Linked DNA regions of Notamacropus eugenii. The protein of the gene in region 1 interacts with the protein of each later gene in a biochemical or structural test. Links are inferred from orthologs where the notes say so. Each region holds a gene or a part of one and is shown in the gene's direction. Other genes may lie near its edges. The genes, in order: GTF2I, BTK and USF1.

The links.
Region 2: the proteins of GTF2I (region 1) and BTK form a complex in vitro, tested with the Homo sapiens proteins (4 studies listed by BioGRID and IntAct, with this or other methods). The link is inferred for Notamacropus eugenii from reciprocal best matches to the Homo sapiens genes GTF2I and BTK.
Region 3: the proteins of GTF2I (region 1) and USF1 form a complex in vitro, tested with the Homo sapiens proteins (2 studies listed by BioGRID). The link is inferred for Notamacropus eugenii from reciprocal best matches to the Homo sapiens genes GTF2I and USF1.

What each region holds. Positions count from the first base shown.
Region 1 is NC_092873.1:48,621,021-48,624,764, reverse strand, and holds the start of GTF2I (general transcription factor II-I), read left to right. Parts: upstream 1-1,357; 5' UTR 1,358-1,422; intron 1,423-2,322; 5' UTR 2,323-2,343; coding exon 2,344-2,437; intron 2,438-3,744. UniProt on the Homo sapiens protein: Interacts with the basal transcription machinery by coordinating the formation of a multiprotein complex at the C-FOS promoter, and linking specific signal responsive activator complexes.
Region 2 is NC_092879.1:92,839,983-92,843,726, reverse strand, and holds the start of BTK (tyrosine-protein kinase BTK), read left to right. Parts: upstream 1-1,512; 5' UTR 1,513-1,663; intron 1,664-1,860; 5' UTR 1,861-1,971; intron 1,972-3,744. UniProt on the Homo sapiens protein: Non-receptor tyrosine kinase indispensable for B lymphocyte development, differentiation and signaling. Binding of antigen to the B-cell antigen receptor (BCR) triggers signaling that ultimately leads to B-cell activation.
Region 3 is NC_092873.1:267,463,735-267,467,478, reverse strand, and holds the start of USF1 (upstream stimulatory factor 1), read left to right. Parts: upstream 1-953; 5' UTR 954-1,082; intron 1,083-2,023; exon of another isoform or gene 2,024-2,203; intron 2,204-3,451; 5' UTR 3,452-3,536; coding exon 3,537-3,544; intron 3,545-3,707; coding exon 3,708-3,744.

The sequences.
Region 1 (3,744 bases):
AGCAGCAGCCGCAGCCATGTTCGTCCCCGGCTCCTCCTGCTCTGCTCCTCCATTGACAGCCCTCGTCCGGGCGGGCCAGCGCCGCTCGCTCTCGCCCCGTCCCCGAGTTCGGGGCTCGCCCTCGCGGTGCACCCTGGGAGTCGTAGTCCGGCCCCGCCGCCCTCGGCCTGGTGGGCAAGGCCCGGAAGACTACGACTCCCGCGGTGCGGTGCGGCGGGTGCGCATGCGCAGCGGGCTCTCTAGGAACAAAAAAAAAAAAAAAAAAAAAAGAGCGAGCTGAGGAGGAGGAGGAGGAGGAGGAGGAGGAGAGCGGACAACAGGGGCCACAGACCGCCGCGGGCCCCCACCTCGCGCGCCCCCTCTCCGGCCGCCTCCCGCCCGCCGCGCTCTGCTCCTCCGCCTTTCGGGCGCTCAGGCCAGCTGTGCGCGGAGCGTGGGCCCTGCCGGGGGCGGCCATGCGGCGGTGACAGGAGCGCGGCGGCGACGGCGCCAGCGACGGCCCCAGCCCCAGCCCCAGGCGCAGGCAGGACCGGCCAGCCCGTGAGCGAGACCGGACGCCCCCGCCCCCGGCTCGGCCTGATCGGCGCCCCGAGCCCTCCCCCGCCTCCTCTCTCCGCGCCTCGGGGCTGCCCGGCGCCGCCGCCGTCCCCGCCGTCGCTGCTGCTGCTACCGCGGCTGCCGCTGCATCGGGTGAGTCCGAGGCCCCTTCGGCCCTGCCGGGCCCAGCCTGGCCTAGCTCGGGGCCGCGGTCGTCACCTCCTCCGCTGCCGCGGAACAGACACGGGGGCAGTTTAACGGAGGGGTGGTTATTGTGTGTGGGGGTGACCGTCGACTCCCCCCGCCTCGGGTCCCGGGCTCCGGGCCCCGGGGTGGGGGCGGGGTGGGGGGGTTGCGAGGGGCGACGGTTGGACGCGCGAGCCTCGGGGACGCGCGCGTGGGGAAGTGCGCGCGGAGCATGGGGGTTGGGGGCGGAGAAGGCCCTGCGCGCGCGCGCCGGAGTTAGCGGAGAGAGGGAGGTGTGCGTGCGTGTGTTGGGGGGGTAGGGGTAGGGGTGGGGGAGGGGGGGGGGGTGTCCTTGCTTCTCACCCCTCCCTGATTGGCTGGGGCGACAGGGGTCGCGCGCTCTGGGCTCGGGCCGGGGCCGAGCTGGGGTCGCGCGCCGGCTGGGCCCTGTCCTGGGACTCGAGCGCAGGCTCGGCGGCGGCGCGCTCGGATTGGCCGGCGGGGCCGGGGGGCGGGGCTTCCGCCGCCGCCGCCGCCGGGCTAGGTGAAGGTGTCAGCCCCGCCCCGCTGTGGCCCCGCCTCCGCCCTATCGCTCCCCCTCCCCCTGCCAGGTGGGGCCTGCTGAGGCCATTGTCCTCGGCGGGTCCTGCGAGGGCGGAGGCGGAGCCGGGCGTCCGAGAGTCCCTGAGGGGCCACGAGGTGCTTTCTTCCCCTCAGTCTAGTTTGGGATCCCCCCCAGCCTCCGAGTCTGGGCTCCTGGAGGCCGTGAATGATGCGGATTCGAACCCCTGTCTGGAGTTGGTCCGGCCCCCCCCCTCCCCGCCTGCCCTCCCCTCCTGGCTGGGGCGGCTCCCCTTGGCTCGGGGCCTGGTTGGACGAGGCCTGGGACCGAGGAACCCGTGTAATTGTGGGGGGGGGTCGCGGTGGCCCCTCGGGAGACTCAGGCCTGGTCGGAGCCCTGCGGGGGGGGGGGGGGGAACGGAAGGGGGAAGGGGAGCGGGAGCGAAGACGAGGGTCGGAGAGGTCAGCCCGGGGGCGTGAAGCCCCGCCCCCTTTGCACATTTCCGGAGCTTCCCCCCTCCCTCATCCCGGGTTGGGCCCAGTCTACGCTGGTCCGGGAGTTGGGGGGGCTCAGTCTCCTTGGGGGTCGAGGCCTGGGATCGAAGGTTGGAGGGGGAGGGGGGGACCCGAGGCTTTATCCAAAGGGGAAGGATCTGCCGAGGTCACCGTCAGGATGGGGGGGTAATTAGAGGGCCGCGAATGGTTCGAGTTTGGTTGGGTCGAAAAAGTCCTTTGATGTTCTTGTGAGAGTTGAATGAATGGGGGACGAGGGGGATTGGGGCGGGGGGGGGCGATGGCGGGCGCAGATAAGGTTTCCTTTGCCCCTGGGGGCGTCCTGGGGGCGGATCCCTAGCCCCGGGCTGTGGATCCTCGGAAGGGAGGTAAACCGAACGCTGCGCTTTCCTTTCCTGAGTCTCGGTGATTGTGGAAGGCAGCGTCCGCGTTAACTGGCTTAGATAGGCCTTCGGATTAAGGACTTCCGGGCAATTATTAATTTCCTGCTCATATCTGATTACTGAAATCGGGCCTTTTTTATAGAAATCGTGTTCTTCACTCGCCATGATTAACTGTAAAAAAATAAACACAGTTTGTGGCTGTCGGCTGCTTTGGAGGAAAAAGCACAAAAGCCGGGAGGATTGGTCTTGTTTTTTTGGCAAGTACTAATTTTTTTAATATGCACCTAAATTAGAAGTAATGCTCTAGTTGAGCGCAGGTTTTCCTCTTTTCCATCTTATTCCCTTGTGTTTTCTCAGCCTTTTCGATCTTCACCCTTGCCATTTGTCTTCTCCCCCCTCCCCCCCTTTTTTCCTGCCCAGGCTTTGTCTCTACAATCTGGTCTTTTAATTCCTGTCCCGCCCTGGTTTCCTCTCTCTAGCTTTCCTTCACGCTGTCGGTCCACCTTGCTTATTCTTGCCTGCTAACCAGGCGTTGCTAAAAGCATGACAGAAGCCCAGGAGTTTGGGACTCATCCTCTGTTACAAAGAGAGCATAAAGGGGTAGACAAAACATGCCAGGAATTCCTTCAGGAGGTAGTTTCCCCAACTGGACTGGGACACAGTGGAGTGGAGGCCCTGTCGCACCCTTTCCCAGCCTTCTTGCTCTGTGCCCTGCTTGGCTGAGGTTCTCCTAGATCTTGTGCAGAGGAGGCATTTTAGAAGCCTCCTTGTTTCTCTGAACAATCACTGCTAGTACAGTAGGATGAAATGGGGAAAGCCTGGGGCTCAGCATCTCTCTTCCTGATGTGCCATGCTGTGGAGTCTTAGCCAAGTGATTTCACCTTTCCAGGGTCATCATTTACTCATCTTTAAGAGGAGGGGCAAGATTACAGTACATCCTGTTCCTCAAATTCTACTTCTCTGAGATGCCAAACAAATTTACCCAGCAATCCTTAATTATAATGAATTCCAACTTCAGGGATAGTGGATATCCATGATTATGCCGAGGCATCCTTCAAACAGCTGCCAGAAGAAGCTTCTTTTGAGCACACGTCTGATCTGCCCTGTTCTGCTCAGCAGCCTTCATTGGTTGGTCCCTTATTCCTATTAGGATAAAACACAAACTCATTTGGGTATTTAAAGCTTTGCCAGATGCCACTCTAGACTGAAATTCTTATTACCCTTGACACATTCCACTTTTCAACCAGATTGACCTACTTGAAGTTCCCTTAACTAGGCATTCCATTTCCTTGTTGCAGGCCTTTTTGGTGTTTGTTCCCCCCCCCCCCCCCCCATGCCACCTCCTATAGGGTTGGGAGGCAGAGTGGGTATCTCTCACATTAGACAGTCTTAATGAACTGCTTGTTAGGTGAATGATTATTCAACTTCTTTATTAATTACCTAGTATGTGCCCAGGTACTGTCTACTAGGCAGAATGGTAGGATTCAGGAGGATTGATTCAGATCCTAGGTAGATACTCATTAGCTCTCTGACCCTGGGCAAGGCACTTAACCCTTTCCTACCT
Region 2 (3,744 bases), on another chromosome or scaffold:
ACAAAAGTGAAACTTCCCAAACCTTTATCTAATCAGATGCATTGTTAGTGCGATAAGTGTTCTTACTCCTTTTAACATCATGGGTTTTGGGGGACACAAGTGTGGAGCAGATGTCTAAAGCTCTGAGATAAAATACAACCTTTGGTGCTTATTGGCTCCATGGCCAGTTTCTTCAACTGTAAAATGAATATAATAACAGCCCTTGTAACTACACTGACTCTTTACAAACTTTAAAGCACCATATAAAGGTCAGTTATTTTTACTTATTTGTCTGCTTTGAGTAAATGTGAGAACTAACCAGGCCAATACTTGGCCAATAAAAAGGTTTTGAAAAAATACATACCCATTTAAGACAACTTTGTTGCTTTGAGAATCTTGACAGGCATGTGAAGGTTTCATAGAAGCTTGGGAAGACTTGTATGAACTGAGGCAGAACCAAGTCAGTCACTCAGTCAATAGATGTTAGAACTCAGATCATTTCAATGACCAATCTTGACTCCCAAGGCCTAATGTTGGCAAAACACTTAATGTATCCTACCTCCTTTGATCCTCACAACAGTCCTGAAAGGTAGGTGCTATTATTATCCCCATGGCAGAGCTAAGGAAACCAAAGTGACTTGCTAAGGGTCACCTGACTGATAAGTGTCTAAGGCAGATTTGGAACCCAGTGTAACAGACTTCTGTCCTCTTTGCAGAGAAGGGGTGGTTATGGATGCAGAACAAGACATATGTTGTCAGATATGGCTGACTTCTGTTTAGAGCTGTTTCGAGATTTGGAGCAACGTTGGAGTTTGGGGGAGGGCTGTAGGTGACCGCAATGTAAATAAAGGCATCGATGAAACTTTTAAACATTTTAAATAATCTTAATAACTTGATAACTTGCAGTGGAGCCTAGGAAGGGCTTCTGCATGAGGCACCCAAGACAGGCAACTAAGGGTATGCTAGTGGGGGGAGGATGGATGGCAACATTGCAGTGGGATGCCTTCACCATCTGGTGCCCAATGCTCTAATTCCTAAGATAGCACGTGCCAACACTTATTTCCTGGGAGAATTGTGGGAGAAATGTGCCTCCTGGACTGACCAAAGGAAGACACTCCTTTTCACACTGAGTAGGAGAAGGGTGGGCTAGAGGCAGCAGTGGGGCTCAGCCCCAGAGCCAGCTGGGAACAATATGCCAGTTTTCTTCTGAGTGGCCCAAAGAGGCATGCTTTCCAGGATTACAGAGTCCTAAATAATTAAAGGCATAGTCTCCTAATAAGGGTCTTAAATGGAAAAAAAAATCAACATTCCTGGAAAATAGAGAAGGTACAAGTTTGCTTCTTGGCCCATGTTCTGACATCTTTATCTGCAGAAGAAAAAAAATCTTTCTTAGAAAATGACTCAACAGAGGAAGTCTTCCTATCTCTAGCTCTGCCGTTTTCTGGAGAAACTATCCCCTTTAAGTGCAGTTGTCTCAGCTCCAAGCCCCTCTGCCGTGGGTGGCCTTCCTCACAGGCTGCTTGCCCTGTCTGTCTACCTCTCCCTGCCTTGCCCCCCATTTCTACACTCCTCTTTCCTCTCTAGTTTTGCTCCCTGTGTTCTGCCTGTTCCTGTAGCCCTGAAGTCAAGGTTGTTTTCCACCTTTGTGGCCTGGCTCTACGGCCTGAGCCTCAGTGACACCAAAGTAGGTGGAGGCTTTTTTCTGAGCCCAACTCATGGTGGCAGTATTGGGGGTTCCAGGCTGATGGAAGGGGAAATAAGATACCATGCCTCTGAGAAGGGAGAAGAAAAAAAAGACATTGGTTTAAGTCAGGAAACAAAAAAAGGGGAACTGAGTGTCTGTGAAAGGGTGGGGTTTGCTCACACTGTCCTTCCTCTCAGGACTGTAAGAATATGTCTCCAGAGCCAGTCTCTGTGCTGATCGAATCCCACCTTCCACATCTGGGCAGCTTAATGCATCTGGGAAACCGCCAGCATTGAGTCAGGACTCAGGTAGGTGGTCAGTGTATGGTGGTGGTCAACAATGACTGAGTATCGACAGTGAGTACCTTCCCCCCTCAGGGCCATATGGGAGGGCTGGGAGAAAACATGGCTGGTGTCGGAGGTGGCCACAGGAGGTGGATGATGGGGGGTGGGGGGGGACTCAAAGCACCAAGTTCTGACAGCGCTAGATAACCAAGAGAGGCCAATGTTGTGGCCTAAGGGACTAAGGAAAGTGGAAGGAAGGAGTAGAGTGGAGCCCCAGAATCAGTCACAGGTAACGGAGAAGCACAAGCACTGTCACAAAACAAAGCTTCCCCTCTTCATAGCCTTTGCAAGTCTGGAGAGTGCACTACAGAGGCCCTTCTGGCCTGGGGAGACCTCTTTGCAAATGTTCAGCTGGGCCTTAGAAGGCAGCAGCATGGTGGGGTGATTTGGAGGCAAAAAGTGGAGGCCTGAATCATAGCTGTATGACCACAGAGGTAGGGAATATCAGAATTCCCCACACACACACACATTTCCTAGAATTGGCTAATGTGATCAGGACCTTTGTTTGATGGCCTCCAGAAAGGGAGAGCCCGCCACTTCCCAAGGCAGCTGCCTTAACTTCCAGCTCTAAGTGTACCATCATGGAATCCCAGATTTCAAGCTGAAAGGTTCCAGGGAAGTTATCTGGTCCAGATATTTGGACAAGTTAGTTCATCCCTCTGTATCTCACTTTCCCTCTGTGTAAAATGAGAGGATTCCATTAGGGGACCTTGATGTTCTTTCTAGCATTCTAGGTCTTGAATTCCTCTGTGCATGAGCTGAAAGGTCCACCCTAGGATGATCAGGAGAGCACAAGATGCTGAGTAAAGGCACTTGGAAGATGTGGGATGCCTACTGAGGGTCTCATGAAGCCAAACATTAGGTTCCATTTCAGTCTCAAATAAGGAATAAGTATACAGAGTCAGAACCAACCTAATGTTCATGTTTGATTTTTTAAAAAATCTAATTCTTTAGGTCAGGGACAGGCAGCCTGTGTCACTGGCATAGTCGTTACTTAGTCCCATTTCTCATCTCTCCTCTCCTCATGCTCTCCTTTTCTTTCTTCCTCTTTTTCTTGCTCTCTCTCTTTCTCCTGTTCCCTCTTCCTTCTCTCCTCCCCTGGGCTCTGATGGGCATTGCTGAGCTAGCACTGCTCATCACTGTTACTGACCCTAATCAGGGCCTTAGTCTAGCAGGGGACAGGGAATTTGAAGTTTGAGGCCTGGGATCAAATGTCGGCTCTGCCCCTCACTACCTGGCTCACTTTGGCCTCACCTGTGAGGGTCTCAAGAAGCACTTGACCTACCTATGTAGGCATCTGTCTCTTTGGTCCATGACCTGTATTTCCTTCACCCACCGCTGCCTGCCATCTTCCTAGCCTGGTGCTGTATATTTGAGAGAGCTGGACTTGATGACTGCCAAGATCCCTTCCCTCTCTAAACCCAGGTGGGGGGGTGGGAGTGGGGGTTGTATTTTTACATACATGTACATGTGTGTGTGGTTGTATGTGTTCTTATGTGTGCATGTATGTGCATATGGCTATGTGTGTATTTCTGTGTGCATGTACATGCATTGTGTGGCTGCATATATACATGCATTGTGTGGCTGTGTATGTACATTCATGCATTGTGACTGTATTTCAGTGTGTACATGCATGCACATGTGGCTATGTGTATATTTCTGTGTGTATGTACATGCATTGTGTGTGGCTTGTGTATTTCAGTGTGTTATGTACATGTATGCACATGTGTCTCTGTG
Region 3 (3,744 bases), about 220 Mb from region 1:
CATTTTGAAGAGGAGGAAACTGAGGCAAACAGGGTTCAGTGACTCACCCAGGGTCACACAGCTAGTAAGCGTCCCAGACCAGATCTGAACCTCAAGGAGGTGACTCCTCCCAACGTCTGGACCATCACCTTATCCGCTGTGCCACCTGGCAGCACCCTCTTTGGTAGCTGGTGCGGGAAGGGCTCCAGGAAATGCCAGGCAGCAGAAGAGAGGGCCAACCTAGCAAGGAGAATACTGGGCTTCAAGGCCTCCTTCGCCTGCGGGGTGCCCAAGATCCTAAGTGGAAGGGCAGGGACTGGCTTGGACTGGAAGGAGTTCCTCCACCCGGAGCTCCTCCCTATAGCAGTGGGAGTTCTGGCTATGTAATTTAAAAATAAGAAATCACCAGGGCAGGGTGGCGATCCACGAAAACCTTTCTGACGCAGAGGGACTACTGGCATGAATGGGTGTGGTCATGGGGGACCAGGGAATAGGCTTTCAGGAGACTCGGGGCCGGACACCCAAATCCCCCCAGAAGCTGAGGTCATTGCTTCTCGGCCGAGCTTCAAAAGCCGGCGCCTGACAGGTGTTGGGCGAACCCCGGGTCATGTTCCTGGAAATTCTTCTCCCAAGAGTGCCCAGACCCAAGATGGCGCCCAGAGCAGCCCTCGTCAAAGATGGCGGCCAAGTCGAGCATCCCTCCCAGACTTAAGATGGTCTCTATCAAGTGTTAGACCCATTGTGGACGGCTACGGCTGTCAGCTGTCCGGAATCAAGATGACACTAGGAGCTCGTCGCCTCCCCTCCATGCCAGATGGCAGCGAGCCCGCTCCCAATCCAGCTGGATCTGGTCAGCTGGACTTCGCTTCCGCGCCTCTCCTAGGAAGAAGGGCACCCCTCACCAAGATGGCGGCAACCGGAAGTGGGCGATGCCCCCGGCCGCTCCCGGGGAAATAGGCGGAGCTGGACCAGACACTTCCGCCCCGCATCGACATGGAGACGCCTGGTCAGTGCGCATGAGCGGCTGCCCATGGAGAGACCTGGGGCCGAAGGGGGAGAACGCGGTCGAGGGAAGTCGGCAGCTACTGGGGCGCCCTGGACTGGTGAGTGTGGGGCAAGGGGTCGAAGCGGGGGGCTGAGCGACGAAGAAGAGGCAGGGGAGCTGCTTTGGGTCGTTCGGCTCCTTTCGGTCGGGGGAGGTTGGCGGAAGGGAGAGGGTGCGAGCGAGCCTTTGTTTTTTTGGGAGGTGGGGGAGGGGCCCCGTCCCGGTCCTCGCCCACTCCCCAGCTGCGCCGGCACCTGCCCCAACTCCTCCTCCCCCTGCCCCCGGTCCCCCTGTCCCAGATCCCTCCTCCTAGCGCTCCCCCTCCCCCCCGCCCCCTTCTAGATTCCTTCCCCCCGCCCCCATCCCCTTCTCAGGCTAGCGGGGGGCGGCGCGGCATGTGTCCGGGGCGACCTCCCAGCCCTCTGGCCGGGGGCTGCCGCACAGCCTCCGGCGCAGCCCCCTCCGCTCGGACTCCTGGCCCTTAACCGGGCTCTTCTTTCTCCCCTTTCCGCACCTCCGTCCCAGCCCCGCTTTCTTTTCTCTGCCTGTGTCTCTTTGCCCCCTCCCCCCCACTCTGTCTCCCTCTTCTGACCCTCTCCTCCTCTCTCCTCCTCTCCTGCCTCTCGGCCGCTTTCGAAATTGTTGGGGGAACTGGAGTGAATAGGGGATTGGTCAAGAAGAGTCACAGTGGCGTGTAGACGTGCAATGAGGACGCCATGCACACTAGTGGTGGGTCTGGCGGGGGAGGGAGCGAGGGAGAGGAGGCGAGGAGAGGAGGGCGGTCGGGCTTTCAGGCCGGGAGCTTATCCTCTGAGTTCTGTCCCCGTGTTTATGACCACCCTAGTGGTCGGCGTGCCCTTTCCTGGACTTGTCTTGGGAAGTCTGCGCAGGTTGAGGAGTCAGTTCTCCCTGTTCTGTCCTGAGAGTACATTCCACAGCTCCCCGGGGCCCCCAGCCCGTGCCACATGCAGTTCTGATAGCCAGAGAGCTCTCCCTTACAGTAATTCATGTCTCCAACCGGCCCCGGCCTTCCTCTGGTGCCCTCAGTTGCCCGGGGATGTGTGGGTGGCAGAAACTTGGTGAGCTGTCCCTGCGTTCCAGTCCTCTTCCTTCCCCCGAAGTCAGGACGGAGAGAGAACTTGGAAGCTCCCTGTCTTCCCTCTTCTCTTTCCTCCCTCCTTCATCCCCTTCCCCCTTACTTCCTTTTCAGGTTTCACTTTCACTTCTCAGTTCTCTTTTTTAACCACTTTCTCTTGGCTTTGGAATCTGTCCTCTGGCCTACATTTCCCAGTGTATCCTTCCTCTCTGTTTCTCTCAGAAAGCCATCCCTTACAAACGTAGTATAAAAAGGAAGGGGAGGGGAAACAGTTCATCAAAACTAGACCACACACTGGGAAAAAGCAAGATATAATCTATAGTATTCCACACCCTCCATCCCCTACCTGTGCGGGGAAGGGAGGGAGGTGTGTTTTTATATCTCTTCTTTGGGTTAGGGACCTTGTTTTGTGGAAGGGGACTGAATTTATAAATCATAATCTTCCTAGTAAAAGCTGCTAGATGCCTGGATTTGGTGGTGCCATCTGCCTCTGGCTAGTCCTTGATTTCTCTTCCCAAGCTGGGAGCCAGGATTTGAGGGTCCTAGCATAGCCTGTAGGTATATTGTTGCCCCAGTCCCCTTCTGTTTCAGAGCAGAGAAGAACCCTGAGCCCTAGGGTGCCTGAAATTCATTCCCGTCTGAATGAAGCATTTTTTATGGTGTAACCATAGCAACATCATAATTGCCAAACCAATCAGGCAAGGAAGAAGACTTGGAGAATAAAGGGAGAGGGAAATTTCCAAGTGCTGGTTTTCAGGCATAAGATTGTTTCTCAGATGGTTTGATCCTTGAAACTCTGACCTAAAGTCTTTGGGGGTATAACTGTTTTCTGCTGCTGCAACTCAATTTCCCTACCTTGGAGAAAAAGATAGAAAGTCTAAATCAATGTGGACCTCTATAAAGTAGCCTCAAGAAACAGTACCAAATAGAGTAAATCATTACTTCTTTATATTGATGGTGATGTTTTGCCAGCATGACCATGCCTGTTTGTAATTGAGCCCCATGAAACTGCTGTCTTTGCAAAGTAAAATAATATTAATAATACATCCAGGAAAACTATTGTTTACAAACTTGCATGTCCATCTCTCCAGGTAACCCCTGACTACTTAGGTTAAAGCCAGAAGGAGGATGACTTTGTGCATAAACTAGCTTTTCCACCTGCTACCTCAACTTTTGGAGTTAGGAAAGGGAGATGTATTGAAAATGACATATACCAGATGAATAGCTTTTTAACACATGATTGTTTGTAGACATTGGGCCCCTGCTAAAGAGGGCCTCTTCAGTTCCATAACTTCATAGTAAGTTGTCTTCTTCTCCCTGTTCCCTCCCAGGATTTACAACGCAGCATTGTGAGGCAGGAGGTACAAAGACTTTAAGCAAAAGAACAAGCCTTCGGATGTGCCCCCTGGCAGAGAGATGAAGGGGTGAGTTAAGGAGGGGAACTCCGAGTGTAAGCTCCTAAATCTGAATCCCAGCTGTGCTGTGCTGAAAATGCCATTGAATGTAAGTGCCAGGAGGTACCAGGGCCTGAACTTCCTGCTCACTGCTTCTCCCCCATGTTTTTCCATCTTACTCCCCCCACAATAGGCAGCAAAAAGCAGCTGAGACAGAGGAGGGGACTGTG